6 linked regions of the Sus scrofa genome follow. The protein of the gene in region 5 binds, or shares a complex with, the protein of the main gene of each other region. Links are inferred from orthologs where the notes say so. Each region holds a gene or a part of one and is shown on either strand. Other genes may lie near its edges.

Region 1 (2,495 bases), on a different chromosome or scaffold from region 5:
TAATTTCAGGGAAGTCTCCACTTAAGACTTTGCATTCTTTATTACTGTTGTTTTTACTCCTAAAATTTTCTTAGATGGTGGTCCATTTTAAAGTCATTTGCTGGAGTTCCCTGGTGGCATAGTGGTTAAGGATCTGGCATTGTCACTGCTGTGGCGAGGGTTTACCAGGAAACTTCTACATGCCATGGGTGTGGCCAAAAAAAAGGTCATTTACTGATGGGGAGGAGAGAGAGGCAATGGGTAGTTTCTAAATAAAAACTATTTAGGCTGATTTAGTTCATCTTGAGCAAGTTAAGAAAATTAAGCAATAGATTTATTAAAAATTTACCCTAGGCATATAAAATAATACTTATTTGTATGAAATGATTTCTTTGTAGATAGGAGAAAGGAAGCAGCAGTTAGAAGCAAATTCACCATCAACACTTACTGTCATGTACTGTGGTCTGGTATGAATTCTTTTGGGTATACATCAATACCTAACTTAATGACCCAAAATCCCCTGTAAATACTTGGTAGCAATGTTGTGACATTAACATTTCCTTTTACTTTAGGATCGCCCAGCAATGCAGCTTTACCAACCAGGAGCTCGAAGCCGAAATCGACTCTGTCCCCCTGATGACAGCACCAAGTCTGGAGATTCAACCATAGACAAAAAGCAGGAAAGTGGTATTAGCCATAGAAAAGAAGGAGGCGAGGAGTGATAAGTCCCAATGGCCTTCGGTGTCCTGACTGTCTAGGCAGCCAAAGAGCACGTATTAAGCAATCCAGAAGTGCCTTCAGGGCAAAGGAATAGAGAGAGAAAGGGGGTCGCTGTGCTGGTGGGGTCCACTGCAGAGGAGTATGTTTTGCGTCAAAGCAGGAACCTGATTGCAGGTTCAGATTGGAAGTACAATTTCATTTTTTATGCAGTTCCTACAAATTAATTTTAAAGTGTCAGACAAAGCTGAGGGAGAGGACATGCATTGCAATTTGCAGGCAGGAAATGTCAAGAGAGGACTTAATTAGGTATGACATGAGAAGAAGATATGAGAACTGTCTCTAAAATCAAAAGGCTTTGTTCATCCTGGATTGAATTTTCTTAATTTCCGTGGAGCAGAGTCACTTTGAGGTCTTGTTCAGGTCTAGTTATAGTCATTGTTGGTGATAACTGTTGACTTTGTGTAGTGTAGAAGCAACAAGCATGTGATTGTAATACAGTGAAGGATATAACAAATTTTCGCTTATGCAAAAATTTAGTCATGTCTATATCCTATATCCTAAAGTTTCAGGATTCGTTTTATTTTTTTTGTTTGTTTGCTTACATGAGCTTAGCATAAAAAATTTTTTTAAGACATCTTCTGCCTTTAGCAATTTTTACATTAGTAGGTAAAGTTTAACCCTTATTTGTTGCCTGACAATCCAGTCTTTGTTTTATCTTAGGTCTCATGAGCTGAGTGCATACCCTCTCCAGGAAGGAAACTGCACAAATATTTGTTCCTGTTAAAATAGCAACTTTTAGTCATAGCTTGTTTTGCATTGATGTCAATAAATATCAACATCACTCAAGTATGAAGCTAAGTGTGTTTATTAGTTTTACTAAATAGCTATTAGTTTTGAGAAATTAAGCTTTGGGGGGTGCACACCCACAGCATGTTCAAGTTCCCAGGCCAGGGTCCAGCTCAAGCTGCAGCAGTAACCCTAGCCACAGCAGTGATAATGCTAGGTCCTTAACCACTAGGCACCAGGGAACCCCAAGAAATTAAACTTTTGATACTTAATTGATTTGGGGGGAATGTTGAAAGGGGATAAATGATAATTTGTTTCTGCCTTCACTAGCACTATCCTTTATTTTGCCCACCAAGAAGACTAAATCATGGTCCAGGAGTTCCCATGTGGCTCAGAAGGTTAAGTATCTGGCACTGTCAGTGCAGTGGTTCCAGTTGTTGCTGTGGCGCGGGTTTGATCCCCGGCCTGGGAAATTCCGCATGCTGTGGGTGCAACCAAAATAATAAATTTTTTAAATAAAAAGGAAAACTTAAAAAAAATCATGGTCCACTACTTGTGCTGTCACCACTACGCTCTCAGCCTGTCTCTGCCATGTCCTCTGAGACTCCCACATTATTATATCTGGGTCAGCAGAAACCAAGGCCTACTGTGTGGTAGGCTTGGTTCTTGGTGCTGGGGGTACAGAGACAAACAAATCCTGCCTTCATGGAGCCTTGTGGAGATGGTACGGTTCTGTATTTTATTGTGCTGGTCATTCCATAGTTATACATGTGATAAAACGGTATATAGCCCTAGCATGAGAACCTCCATATGCTGTGGGGCAGGGGGGGGCTAAAAAGACATCTATTGGACATCCCTGCAGAGACGTTGAGAAGGTAGTGGGAGTTCTAGGTTTGGTCCAGGCTGCAGAGATACACTTGGATATCATCAACCAAGATGGTAGTATTTAAAGCTATGATACTGGATGAGGTCAAGGATGGAGTGTATATAGAAGAGAGAACTCAGGGCTC
Region 2 (3,500 bases), on a different chromosome or scaffold from region 5:
AAACCATCTGACAGTATCTATACAACCTAAAACCCATCGATTCCATCTCTAGGTATGTTACATACCCAACAGAAAGGCATATATACATGTGGTCACCAAAAGACACGTACAAGAGTATTCATGGGAACACTAAAAATTTAATTTTCCATTGATAAATGTTAAATATACTGTGGATATTCGTATAGTGAAAAACTACGACAACAAGAATGAATGAACTATAACTAAATGCAATAGCATGGATGAATCTCACAAGCATCATGTTAGAAGATAAGCTAGACATAAAGGAGTTCATAATATATAATTCTGAAGTTAAAAGCAGGCAAAACTAATATATAATTACAAATTAGAACAGTAGCTGCCATGAGGCAGTGGATGAGAGGAATGGTAACAACTAGGAAGGGAACAAGAACTTCTGGGTCCGAGCTACATGGATGTGTTCTGTTTATGAAAATTTATACAGCTGTTCACTTGTAAGGTACGCACTGAATGTGTGGCATGTGGCAATTACTAACATAAAGCTTCACTATTAAAAGTGAAAAATTAAAATTTCTTGAAAATATAAACATCAGGAAAGCTTAATCCTTAAACTAGATGACAGAAGTTAGAAATGGCATTTCAGTCAGCATTCAAATAAATTATTTGCAGTGGACTATCTTCATTTCTATAAAGAGTATTTCAAAAGATAATCTTAGCATTATAAACACTGAATTCAGTATGGACTGCAATAGTGATAGATGAGTGTTTATATTATTAATTGTGGCTTTTAAACAAGTGAAGTCTAAAATAAATAAGCAATCAAATGATTCTCTTCCCTTGTAAACACCACCAGCAATATACTTGTGAGAAAAGGGCAGAGTTAATTATAAATGAGCTTTGATACCTGAGGACGAGCTCTGACTACTGGTGGATGAAGAATCACTCTCCTCACTAGAAGACTCTGAACTGCTGTCACTGCTGTCCGAATCAGAGGCAGAGGATTCAGAATCGGAGGAGGAGGAGGAGGATCCAGAAGAGGAAGAGGAAGGGGAGGATTTATTGGGCTCAACATCTGGTTTTTGGGCCACGATGACCTTTGGTGTATTTTTGAGATGCTCACGCAATTCATCCCTAATTAAAAACAAAATTTCTATTAGATTCTGCCTTGAAGGCAACTGTGAGAAATTCTGTAAGGTGAATAAATTTCTGAAAATAATTCTTACGTTAAACCTCCAAGACCTATAGAAGTAAAGAAGTTGATGGCAAACCGAGTGTTTCTTGGGTTATCTCGGGGTAATAATCCTTCAAAGAATGGCTGCAGAGTTCTAAAAAAGAAAAAGAAAATGAACAAAACAGATTGGTTAAAAAGGTAAAACCCTTATATTAATCCTTGCATTTTCAGATTTTCTATATATTAAATTAGTAAATGAAATACAATTAAGTGATTTAAAAATCATTTATTTGGTTGTATGCTATCTAAATGAAATGAGTAGGGTCAAGCCATAATTTACTATAATTCTATAACAGAGAGGGTTTTAAAAAACTTTCTTATTCACTCTTATACACTCAGAATATATATATATAGAACACATATAAACCTATATATATGTCTATTTATTATACATTGAGTATATGTGCAGAAAAGTGAAAAAAACCAAACCCCCCCCCAAAACCCTCTCTTCTGGTGTATATACATACCATGTACACAGAGTGCTCTGCAAGGCACTGGAGGAGGGGAGGAAGCAGTCAACAAAAGAGAAATCAAGGATGAAGACTGTATGCAATCACTACAGTTAGGGAGGGGGACAGGCAGAAAAACATTGACAATATAATGTGGTTTTCAGTGCCACACTGAATGGCCTAACCAGCAGTGTTAGGAAAAACCATTCTTCATAGTAAAGGTAATTTAATGTAAGAAGAATGATTAAGAGTTTGATGGACAGAACAAGAGAAGGAATACCCAGCTCTGTTAGGATGCATGAACGAGCCAGAACTACTTAACAAGCTGGGCAGTGTTGGTGTGGCAGAGTGCTGCTGTTAAGATTCTGCTTGAAGGCAACTTATGAGATAATTCTGTGAGGTGAGTAAACTTACAGAACTTGTGTGGAGAGGAACTATGTGAACTTGACCAAGCAGATAGGGACCAATAAATAAGTACATGAAACCAGGAGAAGGGGATGGACTGGCCCAGAGCATACAGAAGCCAGGACAGACTTTCAGCGAACAATGGAGGGGGAGGCTCAAGAGAGAGAGACTGAGGGGAGGAAGGCACAATGAAGGAAAGTGAGGAGCCACAGTGAACAAGTGGTCAACAGTGTGAGGCCAAGAAGTCAAGAGGCATGAGGCCACCTGGAACTGGCAGGTGGTCACTAAGACAAATGAGAAAGGACTTCAGGAGTGTGAATGGAACAGAAGCCAAAGTGAGTGGTGACGGGCAATCTGGATAAATGGTAAATAAGAAAGCTGATATTATTTGATAGTCCTGGAACAAAACCCTAGTTCAGTGTAAAATTTGAATAGTTTCATGAGTGATACTCATTTGTATATATTCACAGTAATTTATTGATAGTAAAAAATTAGCATTCTAAGGCTCAAAATTAGGGTAAAAATGAAACTAAAACTAAAAACACTCATTGCTGGAAAACTCCAGTGAGCATGCAAAAGTTCTAACTAAATTAAAAGAGGTATTAATTCTGAATTTTCTCTAGAACTAGACTATCATCAAGTTTCATGTCGTACCACATAATACAGGAGACTCAGAGTGGCAACGAATGGATGAAAACTATCATGAGAACTTGTATTTTTACCACTAAGGGTAGATTTCCTCTGCTAAAGTGCGGTAAAGCCTCTGAGGGCAGGAAGAATAAAAAGAATAACAAACTTACTCATCCTTTAACCTTGCATTAAGTTTAGGAAGACCCATGTATTCACACAGTTCTTGGAAAAATATTTTCACAAAAATTCTACTGGATGATGTAGTAGTTTCTTCACTCAGCTTTATACATTCAAGAACCTGAAAATTAAAATTTAAAAACATTTTTATTTTGGTGTTTAAAAGGTAAGACAAAGTGACCAATATTTATAACTTTCCTTTCTTGTGAAATTACAATTTGTTCTCATCTTCAATCAGAATTATCTCTAAATATCTTAAGATGATGTATATTATTTCTTGGAAAGAAATAAGACTGCCTCTCTATACTAATTTTCAAAATGTTAAGATGCTGTAGAAATAAAGAGTTCATTCTCTTTCTTGAGTAATGTATGTGCTTTTTATAGATGGGAGGATACTGTCTTGAACATATAGTGCTAAGATTACTAGTTCCTAAAACTCACTCATTAAAATGTGCATGTATGAGAGTCTGGGGACAAAATGCCACTGAAATCATCAAGCCATAGTTTTATAAAGACAAAGAGTGATGGCTTGTTCTGAATACTAAGATTGGGGCTGAAAACCTAAAGCTCATAGAGATATTTTAGGGTAAATAAAAAATAAAAGCAACCTCCATGTTTGATGGATTCTGTGT
Region 3 (4,201 bases), on a different chromosome or scaffold from region 5:
TGAGTTTTTTTTTTTTTCCATCAACACTATTAAATAGCCTCCCAGCAAAAAATACAGCTGATAATGAATTATAATTCTTGCCAAAGGCAGCTCAGTTGTGATTAAAGAACAGACTCTTTTGTGACAGGCAAATCACATCTCTGCAGATTAATGCCCTCAGCTGAAAAACAGGAGTAACCGATAACTTACCTACAGACAGGGCCCCCTGAGGCTCAAGAGTTGTGAAAGCATTCTGAAAACTGTTAAAATGCTTTTTACGTATATAAACAAGTGACTGTGCAACACTCTATAATCTATTCCTGTGATATTATTATGCATATTTGGTATAAAAAGTCATATGTGCATCCAACAGGTTCACCTGAGTATATATGGTGGATATGAAGAAGATAAAAGGAAATAAAGGAGATAATTTTTTCCCTACAGAACAGAAGGCACACTAAAAAGAGCCACACTAATTGACGCCTCACTGTACCGTCTCTCTGCCTCAAGTTCCTCTCCTTTCAATTCATTCTCCATACAGTGGACAAAGTGATAGTTAACAGATCTGATTAGGTTACTCTAACACTTTGATACCAACAATGACTTCCCACTGCCGTCTTGATAAAACCCAAATTCCTCAACATGGGTTACTGCTACGCTGAGCCCACTTCCAGGGCCACTCCTCCAAAAGTCCTCTTGCACATAGCTGGAGTTAATCAAATTACAGCTGACCCATAAACAACCTTGGGCATAGGGCACCCAGCCTCTCTGTAGTTGAACACTGGTATAACTCAGAGCCAGCCCTCTGCATCTGCAGTTCCTCTGTATCCACGGTTCCTCATCTTGGACTCAACCAACTGTGGATCATGTAGGTCTTTCCTACTGAAAAAAATTAAGTGGACCCATGCAATCAAACCCATGTTGTTCAAGGGTCAAATGTGTTTGGTTTCTGCCTGAAACACCCCATTCACTTTTTGGGTTTCGGTCTCTTCGCTGTTAATGCTTTCTGAAAATGCCTTCTTGACTCTCTGCCTAACTCCTTCACATTACTAAAGGCTCAAACCTCCACTTCCCCATGTCATCTTATTCAAGAAGTCTTCTCTGACCTCCAGGCTGGGTTAGGTGCCTTCCTTCTGCTCCAAGGGTCCTTTCTGTGTCTTTCTACCCCAGTAGCCACTACACTGTCTTGTCTTTGTTTGCTAACAAACCTATTTCCTTCACAACCGGGGCGTGTCAGTTCATTTTTGTGCCCCCATTTAGGATAAATTTTCTGTCATCTTTGATTCCTTTTCTTTCACTGTACTGGCGCCTCCCCAAATCTATCACTTGGCAAAGTCCTACTGGTTGTGCCATCAACAGTATGCCATCACTATCACTCTAGTCCCAACCAACATCCCTTCCGTCTTAACAATTCTGCCTCCTATTAAGTAGTTTTCATTCTTACCCATTCTGCACCTAATAACTACAAAACTTTTTCAAGAACATATTACATCTCTCCTCTGCTTAAAACTTTCAAATTGCTTCCTGCTGCACTTAGAACAAAAATCCCAACTCTACCACACCCTATAAAGACTATATGGTGTGACCCTTGCCTGTTTATCAGGCTACTTACTATTCTCTCCAGAGCTCACTACTCTTCAGCCACACTGGCCACCTGAAACATGTTTAGTTCATCCCTGCCTTATGGCCTTGATACTTGTTTCTCCCTCTGCCTAGAATGCTCTTCTACCTGAGAGTCACAAGGCTGGCTCCTTCTTGTCAATCAGAACTCAGTTCATATATCTGCTCTTCAGAGAGTTCGCCTATGGCCACCCTTTCTAAATGCAGTCCACCAGCAATTATACCATCACTTTGTTTTCTGACCACTCATCACTATCTGGAATCTTCTTTTTTTGTTGCTTTTTGTTTGTTTGTTGTTTACAGATCTCCCAGCACGGGAATCTAAGTTCCATGAGACGGGAAGTGTTCACTCTTGTATCCCAGATGGTGGAACAGAGCCTGGCACAAGGTAGGCGCTCAAGGAACGTTTACTGAATGAATCATTGTGGTCAGAAATGTCACTAAACAGAAGATTCTGAACACGAAAAGAACCAGTGGGGAAGACACAGTATCGTTCCTTCCAAATCGGCGCCTCACAGCCATCAGTCTCTTCCTCCTCCAGTTCCTCGCACACTCCTCCCACTCGCCCGTCCCCAGGCCTACACCTCGCTCCCGTCAGGCCGGACGCTTTTCTCACCGTCGGGTCGAAACTCAAACTCCAGGAATTCGTGGCCGAATTTGCCCTTGTGACCCACGTAGTAACGCAGATAGAAGTCACTTTCCATGGCTCGCAAAAGGTATCCGAGACCGAACTTTAAGAGCAAACCGCACCTCTGCCGTAGGCGCCCGACACTGACGTAGACAACGGCGCGCGGAAGTGACGCCAGACAACTCCGCCTCCGGGCGTAGAGCGACCCCTCCCGACCCGCGGGCCAAGTAGGCTCCGCCCCTCCTGGCGGAACGAAGCCCTTCCCCACGGAGGCGGGATTGGTGTAGCCCCGCCCCCTCAGCCGGGGAGGGAGGGAGGTTGAGGTTTGTAAGCCTGCGTCCTTCTGGGCCTGCGGTCCAAGGGGTTCTAGAGCTTGGTAGGAGGACGAACGTGGTCTGGAGTCCGCGTTTTAAGACCAAGGGCTTACACTCCAAGTCCTGCGTCCTCTGAACCTCCACCTTCCTTCAGGACACCTGTCTGTGTGAGTGGGACAAAGCCCTTTACTCTCTCTGGGCCAACAGTAAAATAGGGTTATAGGACCCAAAACTCATAGAACGCCCCGCACTACGCTGCATGTGTCTAACGTTGGCTCAACTGAACCCTGCTGTTTAAGGACCAGTTCAAGAAACCTTTCTCCGTGACGCTTTCCCTGAATCCACAGTGGAGCTTGCCATTTCCCTGTAACAAACTCGCCTGCACTTATCTCTTTCAAGCTTTTATTTCTTCCTTTGCTTTTCTACCTCTCTGGTCTTTAGAAGAGATGCTTTGAGTAGGAGTTAACTATTTAATCGCCCATTCCCCAGTCATCCAAAGGGTGGTGGTGAAATGACCTATATAGCATTCTAGAAAAACAACTCTGGCTTCAATATTGTAGACTGGATTGGAAAATGAGAAGATCAGAAGTATGAAATTCATAGGCAAAAGAGAACAAGACGTAGCTAGAGCGGTAGGGGGGAAACCAGGTGTATAGCATCCTGTAAGCCAAAATAAGAGTATTTCAAGAACGGAATGCCAACAGTGTTACATACTGCTTCCAGGTCAAGGAATATAAGGACTGAAAATATCTGCAAGGTTTATAATTAAGAAGGTCCTGGGTGACCTTGGTAAAAGCAGCCTCACTGGCATGGGAGTGAGAGGCAGAGTGGAAATACTGGGATACAGGTAGGCGAAATTTGTTGTGGAAACACAGATGGTTACCATATCTTATGAGTCAGGTCTGAGTCAGGGAGAATAGAGAAGGCTTCGGAAGTGGAATACTCAAGGACAAATAGGAATTAGCCAGAGGAGGCAGAGAAGGAAAATGTAGGCAGAGAACGCCACATGCGCATGAGCACTGCATGTGCGACACGTACTTTGGGGGGCACTAAAACATAAGTGTCAACTTTGGGCAGTTCCTTCACCCGTTTCCTCATCTCTAAAATTCAAACAATAATATTGATCCTCCACACCCCCCTCATTGAAGCATCACAATGAAACAGTACTTCCAGATTTTAAAAAATGAATTTAATCTCTAGAAAGAGTGCATTTATTTTACAAACGTCCACATTTGGTTTTTAGTTCATCAAGATGATGTAAGTCAACTAGTGAGATGCAGCACATCACCCTTTGCCTCTGGAAGAGAAACCAGACTCCAAAGGGGACCGAGTACAGAAGCTAACGGAACTTGGAAGGACAAGACAAAAAGCAGAAATGGTTAGGGGGACCCCACATTCTAACATGCCTGTTACATCAAATACAGTCAAATGTGGTCCTTGAGGGGTGCTGGGGTGGATACAAACAAGGAAAATTTTGTCTGGGTACAATGTGATGGAGTTTACAAACCAGTACTTTACCCCACATCAACAACAGCCTGAAGAGAACAAAATGCTATTTTAAAACACATGGTTTGTACAGGTATTTGTTTTATCTTGTAATTTTTGTAAAAAAGTATCAAAACCTTCATGTCTTTAAATATATATATATACATATACAGGT
Region 4 (4,229 bases), about 1.2 Mb from region 5:
AGCTGCTCAGTGGTCCCCAAGCCCCACCTCCCTCTTGGGACCACCCTTGTCCCCTTGGCAAAGCCAGAGACCCTTTCGTCTGTCCCCAAACTAAATTAACTCTTGACCTGAATATAACAACCACTTTCACTTCACCAAACACCCTGGGAAGGAACGAACACGGCAAAAGCGGCAAAAGATGTCTCCTTGCGTTGTGTTGTCTGTGGTGACAGCAGTGGCGAATGACAGAGAGAAGTGAGTGGCAAAAAGCATTACCTCCAGCACTGACTTTAAAACATTTGGACAAAAGCAAATACGGAAACATGTCATTTCCGGTTTGACCTGCTAGATGGGAGAGTGGTTTTATAACATTCCATTCTTTTGTTGGCTTGAGAATAAAGGTCTTCGAATAAAAGATCTTAACACATCTCTCAGTCCCACGTGTTTCACAGTGACTCTCACCTGGACAGGAAGCTGTGCTCTTTTTTCTCACCAAACCTTTGACAGACGTCTCGTGTACAAACATGGGCCCAAACTGACTAGCCTTTCCCCATTAACTTTCTTGGGGAAAGGAAATCAAACGCTGGGGATGCTATGCAGGTATCTCTAAGGACCTGCCAAGGCCAGCAAGCAGTCAAAACTCGAGGGCGGGCAGGGGCACTCACAGTCCGGGCAGCAGCCATTGAAGGCCATCCGGCAGATACCGCAGTTCTCGTCGTTGGCCACCCAGAGCCACGTGGCCACGCCGTTCCAGCACTTGATCTTCACCTTCATGGCGCGGGAGCCTGCGGGAGGGAAGAGACCCCCGGGGTTCCGGTGAGGCTGCTGAGCTACAGCACTTGGGAGCCAAAGAAGAGGTTCCGCCCCGAGCCCTCTAGAGGGTCGGGGAGGGCAGGAGTCGCCTCCGGCAGGGCAGCACAAACTGTCAGCGAGGCGGCTGGGGCAAGGGCCGGGTCCCCGGGAGGACCGGGCGCTCAGCGCATCTCCCAACGCCGCGCTTCTGCCCGGGCGTCCACGGAAGGGGGCGTCGGCTTCCGTTAACCACTGCAAAATCCTGCCGTGTGTACGTCTGAAAGGGACATGACTGTCGAGGTCAGGAGGAGAGCCAAACCCCTCCCTGCAAGACACCCGCGGAAACAAGCCCCCGGCCTGCGCGGCCGCTCCCCCCGCCTCCGCGGACCCGAGCGCGGGTTCGGGGCGGGGGGAGGGGCAGGACCCGGTTAGGACGTGCAAGGAGGGGCAAGGGAGGGGCGGAAGCCCGGCCCCGCCCAACGGCCGCACCCCCACTAACCAAATCACGCGCTGCCCCACCCGCCTTCCGTTGGCGGCGCCGGCGCCCGCGCGGGAAGGTATATAAACGACCGCGGCTGCGGACAGGCACTTCTCAGCGGCGCCCGCCGAAGCCCGGGGTCCAGCGCGCACGCCCCGCCCCGCCCCCCGACGCCGCCGCCGCCTCGCAGCCAATCCGCGGCCGCTCCGAGGACGCAGGCCCGGAAAAGGCCGCGCGGCGCAGGAAGTGACGCGCCGGCGTGCTGACGCGCGGGCTCCAGCCGAGGCCGATTCCGCGCCCGCCATGGCCGACAAAATGGATATGTCTCTGGACGACATCATTAAGCTGAACCGGAGCCAGCGAGGCGGCCGCGGCGGGGGCAGGGGCCGCGGCCGGGCCGGCTCCCAGGGCGGCCGCGGCGGCGGGGCGCAGGCTGCCGCGCGAGTGAGCCGAGGCGGCGGACCCATTCGGAACCGGCCGGCCATCGCCCGCGGCGCGGCGGGCGGCGGCAGGAACCGGCCGGCGCCCTACAGCAGGGTGAGTGCGGAGGCCGGCTGGCGGGCCGCGGCCGGGGGGCGGGCAGGCAGCGCGACGCGGGAGCAGCGGGCGGGCCGGGCCGGGGGGGTGGGGGCGCGGGCGCCGGCCGGGCGGACGGGGGAGGTCGCGCGCCAGCCGGGCCCCGAAGCGAGACCCCACCGGCCTTTGTTTGGGCTGGACGCCGGGCCTCGTGGCGCCGGGGGCCGAGGAGACGTTGGCGCGGCCGCCCTGGCGGCGGGAAGTTAGTTGGAGGGAACCGAGAAGTTGCGGGAAGTGCGGCCCCGCGGGCGGGAAGCGGGGGCTGCGGGCCCCTCTCGGTGCCTTCCTCCCGGGCCGCGATGGGGGAAGGTCTTGTGGCCGTGGGGGCGAGGGCGAGTCCTGGAGCGCGACTTATGGGTCTTTTTCTGTCGCGTTTTCTTTTTCTTTAGCCGAAACAGCTTCCTGACAAATGGCAACACGACCTTTTCGACAGCGGTTTTGGGGGTGGTGCCGGCGTGGAGACCGGTGGGAAACTGTTGGTGTCAAATCTGGATTTTGGCGTGTCCGACGCTGATATTCAGGTAAGAGACTGGAGCTTCTCCTCGGGAGCAGCTCACCCTGTACAGCACTGACTGTGGTGTTTGGGACGGGCCGGGACCCTGAATCCGCACCCACCTTGGGACAGTGAGCCCCTCCCAGGCCCTCGAGGGCTGGCCACCACTGCTCCCTGGAAGGGGCTGCTGGAGTGCATAGCAAAGGCCAAGCTAGAGCTGAAAGTCCAACTGCTGGTTCAGTTTGCGCTGGAAGACAGGCCCGGGTCGGGCCGGGCCGAGGCACCGCGGCTTTGGTAGCTAAGCATCCGCCGTGGGGGTGAGGAGCCTCTGCCTGCCCTTTTCTGGCAAGTGTGGCTGAACGCGTGTGGTTCTGCGTCCCTGAAAGAGCGCGGCTGTCTGCGGCTTTATTTCGTGCCCGTTTTAGTGATGCTTTGGGAGGAGAAAGCCCTTTCTCTGCAGGGCTGACAAAGTGCAGAAGCAGAGTGCTACAGGCATCTCTGGTCCCCTCTGCCTTAAGCCCCGTGGAACTGGGTCCCGGTCTTTCTCTCACCTATGCTCACGCTCTGGGTCTCGTTAGCGGCGCAAGTGTTTATTTAGTCTCGTCTTCGACTCAAGCCTCTTTTCTTTTCCGTTTCTTTTTCTCTTTTTTAAATCCACTCTCCAAGGCACTTGAACTGGTTTTCTCGTGAAGTAATGCCGTTTTGGGGGTCAGTCCTGCAGATGGCTGGGTCCGGGTGAGGGGCCTTCCTGGGTTCGGTCTCCCAGAGCCCAGCCGTTTTACTTAGCCGTGGGGGGACAGAGCAAGGCCAGTGAGCGCTCACAGTGTCTCCACACTTTTTTTAAGGTGGTTTCTGGCATCCACTGGAAACCGCTTTTGGTGAACTCCACTTCCCGCTGTGTGCCTGCGGCCGGAGTAGCCCCACACTCTGGGTTCCCTCTCCAACTCCCAGCCTGCCTGAGGTCAGGGCAGTTTCCATGGCAGCGCTTGACTTCAGACTTTGCGGCAGGCTTGAGTAGGAGGAGAGGGAAAGGTGAGCCCGAATCTGCCCGGGGGAGGGGCTGGGTCAGGGCTCCCGAGTCAGCGGGCCCTTCGAGCTGATCCACCTTGGCTTAGAGCCCCTCGCTCTGTGATCTTGGCCTTTGCAGCTTCTCGGCGCAGTCCTCGGGCGTGTCGTAGGTCTTCCTCTGTAGAAGGCGAGGGCCACTTAATCTCGCGCCCTTCCCCGCGGGCTTTGTGATGCTTTACCTGCACTGTGGTACCTGTGTCAGGTCCCCCGACTGGCAGGAGCCCTCAGGCCCAACGGCTCCTGCCTGGAAGTTGCTGTCCCCCTGCCCCATCCCATCCCCCAGTTCCCGCTACCACTGCCCTGCCCCCCCCACACGTGACGTCTGCCTCCCAGGTAGATACCCCAAAGCAGTGCACACTTCCAGGGAGTGTCCCTGGGCTGCCAGGAAGAAAAGGGCTTCGCTGACGAGTGCTCTTTCGGACTCACAGGAACTCTTTGCTGAGTTTGGAACTCTGAAGAAGGCGGCTGTGCACTATGACCGATCGGGCCGCAGTTTGGGGACCGCTGATGTGCACTTTGAGCGGAAAGCAGACGCCCTGAAAGCTATGAAGCAGTACAACGGCGTACCCCTGGACGGTGCGTACCCCTGGACGGTGCGTGGCCCTGGACGGTGCGTCGGGAGCCGCGCCCAGAAAGGCCTCGGGCGCCAGGAGTGGGGCCGCCTGTGCCTGAGGACACTTGGCCGTCGCCCCTTTTTCTCCCTCTTCCCGTTCTGCCGTCTCACGCTCCCCCGCGCACCTGGACCAGCCTCTCGTGAACCCCCTCCAGCAAGCAAGCCCCAGTCCTCCCCTCCTGCAGCTCCTTGCAGGAGACTCCCTTCTGCGAAGGCCCTTCAGAACCGCC
Region 5 (3,500 bases):
GCACGTGTCCTCAAACTTCTGCGACGAATCATGTCTATAAAATCAGAGTTTGAAATAATGAGACCTCGGGCTCTGAGGAAAGAGCCAGCCCTTACAACCAGTGTCCGCTGCATCTCAGGGACCCCCCTCCAGCTCTTACAAGTTACTCAAATGTGTAAGGCCACCAGGCAGCCTATCAAATTGAAAATGGTCCTTTATTTTTTTGGTTTTTAGGGCCACGCCTGCAGCAAGCATATGGAGGTTCCCAGACTAGTGGTCACATCAGAGCCACAGAAACTCGAGAACCCGCATCCTCAGGGATACTAGTCAGGTTTGTTGCTGCTGAGCCACAACGGGAACTCCTGTTGAAGCACTTCTTACAGACAAAAGTGATTACCAAAGACTCGCCCAGGTGTGCCGGCGACAACGTGCTGTCCATAGTCCAGTTTCCTGATGTCCTCCCCGACGTTGGTGCCCCCAATACAGGCATGGCACTGGACGTTCATGTAGTCACCCAGAGCGAGGAGGCCCTGAATTAAAACACACATTCATGTCCAGCGTCTGTCCCGAGACCCTACAGAGTCCGAAACATGAGTCCCCAAAGTGAAGATCACTGTACATTCTAATTTAAATGATCCCTGAGTGTTATTTATGTCACTATTCCCATCATGAAATTCCTTCAAGTCTTCTCCTACTACTCTTTTCTGTGCCGGAATGAAGTCAACTTACTGGTTTCTTATTACAAAAGCCGTAAGTTTTAATTACAGAAAAATAAGAAAATATGTAAAATAATCCTATCCACCCAGAGATAACATTAACAGCTTAACAGACGTTCTTCCAAAGTGTTTATACTACACATGCAAAACAGTTAAAATTATTTTTAAGATGGATTTATTTGTCGGAAAAATTACAGTTCTAAGATTGCAAAGATCGATTAAAATTACACAGGCTACACTAAAAATGACTCTGTATGGAGTTCCCGTTGTGGCACAGTGGTTAATGAATCCGACTAGGAACCATGAGGTTGCGGGTTCGATCCTTGCCCTTGCTCAGAGGGTTAATGATCCGGCGTTGCCGTGAGCTGCGGTGTAGGTTGCAGACGCGGCTCGGATCCCGTGTTGCTGTGGCTCTGGCGTAGGCTTGGCAGCTACAGCTCTGATTCCCTAGCCTGGGAACCTCCATATGCCGTGGGAACGGCCCAAGAAATAGCAAAAAAAATGACTCTGTACAAACCAATGAACATGATATGTGATTTACGGCAAAAGTTAGGAATTAGGGGAAAAAAACCTGATAGAACAGAAAATCTGGATTAGACTGAATCAACCAGTTGGCTTGGAGAGCATGGGGGTTAGGGAGGGAGGTCAGAGATGCTGGCCTACCTACAGACTCCAGACACCCCGAACCCCACCTTAGTCAGAAACCCACATACGACTTCATAGTTGGCCTGCCTACCCTTGGATCTAGCAACTTCAGATCACACAGTGCAGTAGTAATATTCATTTTTAAAAGCCTGCAAATAAGAGGATCCACACAGTTCAAACCCATGTTGTTCAAGGGTCAACATGCTACAGATATGATACTGCCATTTTTAAGTGTCTCACCTTCTGGATCTGTACAGCTAACTCTCTCGTTGGAGCCAAGATCAAAGCTTGGGTTTCACGAACCTGGTAAAATAATTTGTCAGAAAATAGAGAATCTCAGTATTTTCAAGGCAGACTGCACTAATTCAGGCTCAGATCTATCTTGAATATTACCTCACACTAATAACATCTGATTTCAGATAATGAACCTGAATGTTACTTAAATCGCACATTCAGCAATAATGGGGGATACAGGAAAGGCCTGTTTGCAGATGAGAATTTTTACTAATTAAAAAAAACCTCAGGAGTTCCCATTGTGGCTCAGCGGACTAAGAACCTGACTATGAGTTCCTGCTGTGGCTTAGGGAAAACAAATCTGACCAGCACCCACGACGCTGGGTTAAGGATCGGCGATGCGGGCTCAGGTCTCGCATTGATGTGGCTCAGGTGTAGGCCGAGGGCTACATCTCCAATTCGGCTCCTAGCCTGGGAACCTCCATATGCCGAGGGTGCGGCCTTAAAAAAAGACCAAAAAAAAAACCCCCAAAAACAAACAATCCAACTAGTATCCATGAGGATGTGGGCTCGATCCCTGGTCTTGCGCAGTGGGTTGAGGATCAAGCATTGCTGAAAGTTGAAGTGGAGGTCAAAAATGCAGCTCTGATGAGATCACTAGCCCAGGAACTCCCACGTGTGGAGTCTCAATTTCCAGGTGGATCAATGGGTTAAGGATCCAGCGTTGTCACTGCTATGACTTTGGGTTCAAGCCCTGGCCTAGAATTTCCACATGCCGTAGGCAGAAAAAAACCAAAAATAACAAAAAATCCTCCAAGTTACCAAAGGCGAATGTCGGGGGGGGGGGGGCTGTGGATAAATTAGAAGTCTTGGATTAACATATACACACTAGTACATACAAAACAGACAACCAACAAGAACCTACTATACGATACAAAGAACGATACTTCGTACCTTATAATAAGCTATAATAGACAGGACGCTTAAAGAGAATATATATGTATGTTTAACTGAATCACTCTGCTGTACACCTGAAACTAATACATTACAAATCAACTATATTTCAATAAAAAAACTTTAAACTTCCCACTTTAAATAAAAAGGACTTGGAGTTCCCGCCGTGGTGCAGTGGTTAACGAATCCGACTAGGAACCATGAGGTTGCGAGTTCAATCCCTGCCCTTGCTCAGTGGGTTAAAGATCTCCAGCGTTGCCGTGAGCTGTGGTGTAGGTCGCAGACTTGGCTCAGATCGTGCCTTACTGTGGCTCTGGCATAGGCTGGCAGCTACAGCTCCGATTAGACCCCTAGCCCGGGAACCTCCATATGCCGCGGGAGTGGCCCAAGAAACAGCAAAAAAAAAAAAAAAAAAAAAAAAAAGACTTTCTGACAAGATATTAGCTCAGATATTAATAATTAAGATTCTCTTAAAAAAATTTTGAGCCGCCGCGGCAGCGGCCCAAGAAATGGCAAAAAAAAAAAAAAAAAAAAAAAAAAAATTTGAGCCAATACAACTAGAGATATTTAAGAATTGTACTTCTTAAATCACAGCGGATAAAGGAAGTATTTCCCCAAGATTAAAGAGAAGTTTGAGGCAGATTACCTGAATATCCAAACACTGCAGGACAGAAATACTGAAGGTAGCTGTTTTGCCTGTACCAGACTGAGATCTAGGAGAGAAAACACAGAAAAATGGGATTTAGAATGATGGGCCACATGCCACTGCTCCCATCATGTGACCTCTGTCCAGCAGTGCTCCGGGGAAGCATGTGGGGAGCGTCTTACAAGTAGACCCCACTCCCCCACCGCACCCCCGGCCAACATCTTCACCTCAAGGGGGTGGGACTCAGGCACGTGTCCCAACTTTCAAATCACAGGTGATGGGGATAATAAACAGGAAGTGATGAAGCTGCAGAATCTGTAACTTCA
Region 6 (2,914 bases), on a different chromosome or scaffold from region 5:
GTTTCATATAAAACTAGTGTCACACAAAATTTATTTTTTAATGAATGTTTTAATATTCGTAACATTCAAATAGTATTATTAAATGAGTGAGACCATGTTCACTAGGAGTTGGGATATAAATACACACACACATTATGTTAAGTCTACATTTCAAGTAATTTTTACAGCTGAGAACTCATTTATTTCCCACAGACACAAAATATACATAATGCGAAATAGAGAATAAGGGCCTAATAAAAATGTGCCTAACTTGGGGTACTGACTTCACCTTTGTAACCTTGAGGAAATCACCGCTTATACCAAACCACTTAAATGTGAATAACCAGAGGGGTCTGCGACAAGCATAAAAAACCCAACACCTTCTGTAAAAAACTTCTGTAAGCACCAAAAAATTAAATTCCGTCAGGGTACGGTGGAAACAAGGAAGATCTTCAATTCCTTTAAACAGGTGGGAATCTGGCTGCACATATCTACATGAAAGAACCTTGTCATACGATACATCTATTAAAACAATTTTTATTATCTTTGAAGCAAATCAGATACAGCCTCCTGGAGGAAAAAAAAAACACTCTCCATCCAGGCTTTGACATATTTTATTAGAGCAACATTTCAATGAAAGGTGGTTTTTATTTACAGAATTTAATGCATGTGGGGCTGTCCAACCCACTTGGACCCAAGTGAAGATAACCATTAAGTCCATTTATGTATTTTTTTCTTTTTCTTTCTTTTTGGCCGCACTCACAGCATGTGCAAGTTCCTGGGCAGGCATAGAACCTGTGCCACAAGTGACAACACGGAATCCTTAACCTGTTGTGCCACAAGGGAACTCCATGTTTATGTATTTTCTTATTTTCAATTTGCATACAAAAAGTTTGCTTTGCATTCATAAAAACCCCAGTATTATAAATGACAACCCCTCCCTCACCCATCCCTTAATTAAATATAAAAAGTTTCAAAAAAACATACAATTTAGATTGGTTTAATCTTGAAATGTAATCCAATAAGACTAAAAACTAAACATTTCAGGTCCTGTACCAAGTAATAAAATACTCGAAGGCCTTCAGGATCCCTAAAATTTAAAAAGATAAAAGTTACTTTTGTGCTCCTAGAATGAAACAAAATACAAATTAATTCCTAAAACAAAAACCAAAAACCTAAAACAATTAAGACAAATTAATTTAGGAGAAGGATTTGCTGATAACTAAAATGGTTATATGCAACAATTCCAATCTTTATCTTTTTTTCTGTAAGAAAAAAATACATCAATTTCTTCACCAGTATTCACCTGATATTTAAAGTATTTATATCCTTACAAAAATTATAGTTATACATCACAAAAATGCATAAGGCAAATAAAATTATAAAGATAGAAAAACTCAATACTATATAATTTCACAGTATTGGTATTTCTCTAATTTTTCATAACTAAAAACATTCCCTGTGGCCTTTTAAACATTACTTTTTATATTATACCAAAAAAATTGACAATAACTTTTAATTAATTTAAAAATTCTCTGCTTGTTATACATTCGTATTTTTTTCAATTACAAAGTTTTCAATGATCATCTTTATGAATAATAAAGTTTTTTCATTATTTCAGAATATTTCCCCAGAACAGATAAATGCTCAGAGATGAAATTAGCTGGATGAATATGAATGAAAAATATTAACAGCTTTTAACTCATACTATCAAACTGCTTTTCAAAAAACACTATCTATTTATAATCCCAGTAGGACACAAATGCAACACCCTCAGCAACTAGGAGAAAATAGATATATGACAGTTTAAAAGTATCCGGTCAGTCTTTATGAACGTAGCCTTTTGTATCCAATAGTTAATACGCATTCATTTCTTTCTTTCCTCTAATAAATGTTTATAAAGCACCTACTGTTTGTCAGGCATGGCAGGAAATTTGGACTCATGGAGTTTATAATGAAACAGGTTAAGCAAACAAGTTATTATAGTTTAGGGTGACAGGAAAAAGACAGTATAAGAACATTTAGAGGAGAAAGAATGGAAAGAAATAATGAAGGCAGAGATGTTCAGACAATGGTATGTGGCAGAGACACAGAGCTTAGGAAGACACAAGTAGCTAGAGCCATACTTAAGCCATACTATGTTTTTTTCTATTTCTTTCAAGTATTTACCCAAGGAAGAGAATGATGTGATATGGGACTAATAAGGCTGATAAATCCAATAAGGATTTCTGTTAAATTTTGTGATACTGTGTAGAGATTAAGATTTTTTGACAATCAATAAAAAATATAATGCTGAATTCTTTGATAACAAGTCATCACTGATATAAAAATCAGGATTACACACATATAAACTGATATAGGATGGAATTAAAATAATCTATAGTTCTAAAATGAGCCTCTCTAACAAATTATGTCAATTTAGTCCAAATGCTTTAACATACTCACTTTGACTGATTAACATCAATAAGAGAACCTATTTTTGATGTGGTGAAAGAAATGTGTTCATCTCCAATCACGATTTCAAGCTCCTGAAAAAAATTAAACAGAGAAATGTAGTTAATATAAAAATCCATCCCAAAGACAGTTTACTCTTGCGATATGAGGTCCCAATTTTATCTGCAAGCTTTCCAGCGATCACAGGAAATAAGAAAAAAAAAAAACTTGACCTTTTCTATAAACTATAAAATAAAAACCTCATCAACTGCTTCAGGAGTCCCCAATACTAGGATGAATCAACAATTCACAGAAACAGACTCAGACTTTTTAAAACTTACGGTTACCAAAGGGGGACGGGTGGGGTGGGGGATGGCCTGGGGCTCTGGGATGGGCATAACACACTGAAGTACATGGAATGACTGGCCAATGGGGACCTGCTGTGTAGCACAAGGAACTCTATCCAATATTCTATGATAATCTATGTGGGAAAGAGAATGGA

Evidence for each region.
Region 1: EIF4A3 (region 5) and UPF3B share a complex: the UniProt entries of both Homo sapiens proteins name them as parts of the mRNA splicing-dependent exon junction complex. The link is inferred for Sus scrofa from reciprocal best matches to the Homo sapiens genes EIF4A3 and UPF3B.
Region 2: the proteins of EIF4A3 (region 5) and CWC22 are in contact, whole or in part, in a crystal structure (PDB 4C9B), measured with the Homo sapiens proteins. The link is inferred for Sus scrofa from reciprocal best matches to the Homo sapiens genes EIF4A3 and CWC22. Residues at the interface, in NP_055555.1 of Homo sapiens: Met43, Gly44, Ile72, Ile73, Lys74, Gly75, Gln98, Cys99, Met183, Gln213, Val256, Ala257, Glu259, Trp263, Asp266, Thr267, Asp270, Leu271, Tyr272, Asp273, Thr274, Leu275, Thr276, Ile277, Thr278, Gln279, Ala300, Asn301, Phe302, Thr303; in NP_001362958.1 of Homo sapiens: Thr129, Gly130, Gly131, Ala132, Tyr133, Pro135, Pro136, Ala137, Lys138, Arg140, Lys164, Asn167, Gly168, Ile170, Asn171, Lys172, Val173, Asn174, Ser176, Asn177, Ile180, Ile181, Glu184, Ala207, Ser208, Ile210, Phe211, Tyr215, Lys330, Arg331.
Region 3: EIF4A3 (region 5) and MAGOH share a complex: the UniProt entries of both Homo sapiens proteins name them as parts of the ALYREF/THOC4-EJC-RNA complex. The link is inferred for Sus scrofa from reciprocal best matches to the Homo sapiens genes EIF4A3 and MAGOH.
Region 4: EIF4A3 (region 5) and ALYREF share a complex: the UniProt entries of both Homo sapiens proteins name them as parts of the ALYREF/THOC4-EJC-RNA complex. The link is inferred for Sus scrofa from reciprocal best matches to the Homo sapiens genes EIF4A3 and ALYREF.
Region 6: EIF4A3 (region 5) and MAGOHB share a complex: the UniProt entries of both Homo sapiens proteins name them as parts of the mRNA splicing-dependent exon junction complex. The link is inferred for Sus scrofa from reciprocal best matches to the Homo sapiens genes EIF4A3 and MAGOHB.

What each region holds. Positions count from the first base shown.
Region 1 is NC_010461.5:98,184,146-98,186,640, reverse strand, and holds the end of UPF3B (regulator of nonsense transcripts 3B), read left to right. Parts: intron 1-551; coding exon 552-701; 3' UTR 702-1,995; downstream 1,996-2,495. UniProt on the Homo sapiens protein: Involved in nonsense-mediated decay (NMD) of mRNAs containing premature stop codons by associating with the nuclear exon junction complex (EJC) and serving as link between the EJC core and NMD machinery.
Region 2 is NC_010457.5:85,546,838-85,550,337, forward strand, and holds part of CWC22 (pre-mRNA-splicing factor CWC22 homolog), read right to left. Parts: intron 2,990-3,500; coding exon 2,862-2,989; intron 1,302-2,861; coding exon 1,200-1,301; intron 1,108-1,199; coding exon 881-1,107; intron 1-880. UniProt on the Homo sapiens protein: Required for pre-mRNA splicing as component of the spliceosome. As a component of the minor spliceosome, involved in the splicing of U12-type introns in pre-mRNAs. Promotes exon-junction complex (EJC) assembly.
Region 3 is NC_010448.4:158,986,771-158,990,971, reverse strand, and holds the start of MAGOH (protein mago nashi homolog), read right to left. Parts: upstream 2,801-4,201; 5' UTR 2,304-2,800; coding exon 2,216-2,303; intron 1-2,215. UniProt on the Homo sapiens protein: Required for pre-mRNA splicing as component of the spliceosome. Plays a redundant role with MAGOHB as core component of the exon junction complex (EJC) and in the nonsense-mediated decay (NMD) pathway.
Region 4 is NC_010454.4:1,097,810-1,102,038, forward strand, and holds the start of ALYREF (THO complex subunit 4), read left to right. Parts: upstream 1-1,429; 5' UTR 1,430-1,552; coding exon 1,553-1,786; intron 1,787-2,214; coding exon 2,215-2,346; intron 2,347-3,814; coding exon 3,815-3,962; intron 3,963-4,229. Other genes in the region: ANAPC11 (anaphase-promoting complex subunit 11), read right to left, coding at 645-753. UniProt on the Homo sapiens protein: Functions as an mRNA export adapter; component of the transcription/export (TREX) complex which is thought to couple mRNA transcription, processing and nuclear export, and specifically associates with spliced mRNA and not with unspliced pre-mRNA.
Region 5 is NC_010454.4:2,288,679-2,292,178, reverse strand, and holds part of EIF4A3 (eukaryotic initiation factor 4A-III), read right to left. Parts: intron 3,242-3,500; coding exon 3,175-3,241; intron 1,644-3,174; coding exon 1,581-1,643; intron 510-1,580; coding exon 377-509; intron 35-376; coding exon 1-34. UniProt on the Homo sapiens protein: ATP-dependent RNA helicase. Involved in pre-mRNA splicing as component of the spliceosome. Core component of the splicing-dependent multiprotein exon junction complex (EJC) deposited at splice junctions on mRNAs.
Region 6 is NC_010447.5:61,431,613-61,434,526, reverse strand, and holds the end of MAGOHB (protein mago nashi homolog 2), read right to left. Parts: intron 2,508-2,914; coding exon 2,425-2,507; intron 1,070-2,424; coding exon 970-1,069; 3' UTR 501-969; downstream 1-500. UniProt on the Homo sapiens protein: Required for pre-mRNA splicing as component of the spliceosome. Plays a redundant role with MAGOH in the exon junction complex and in the nonsense-mediated decay (NMD) pathway.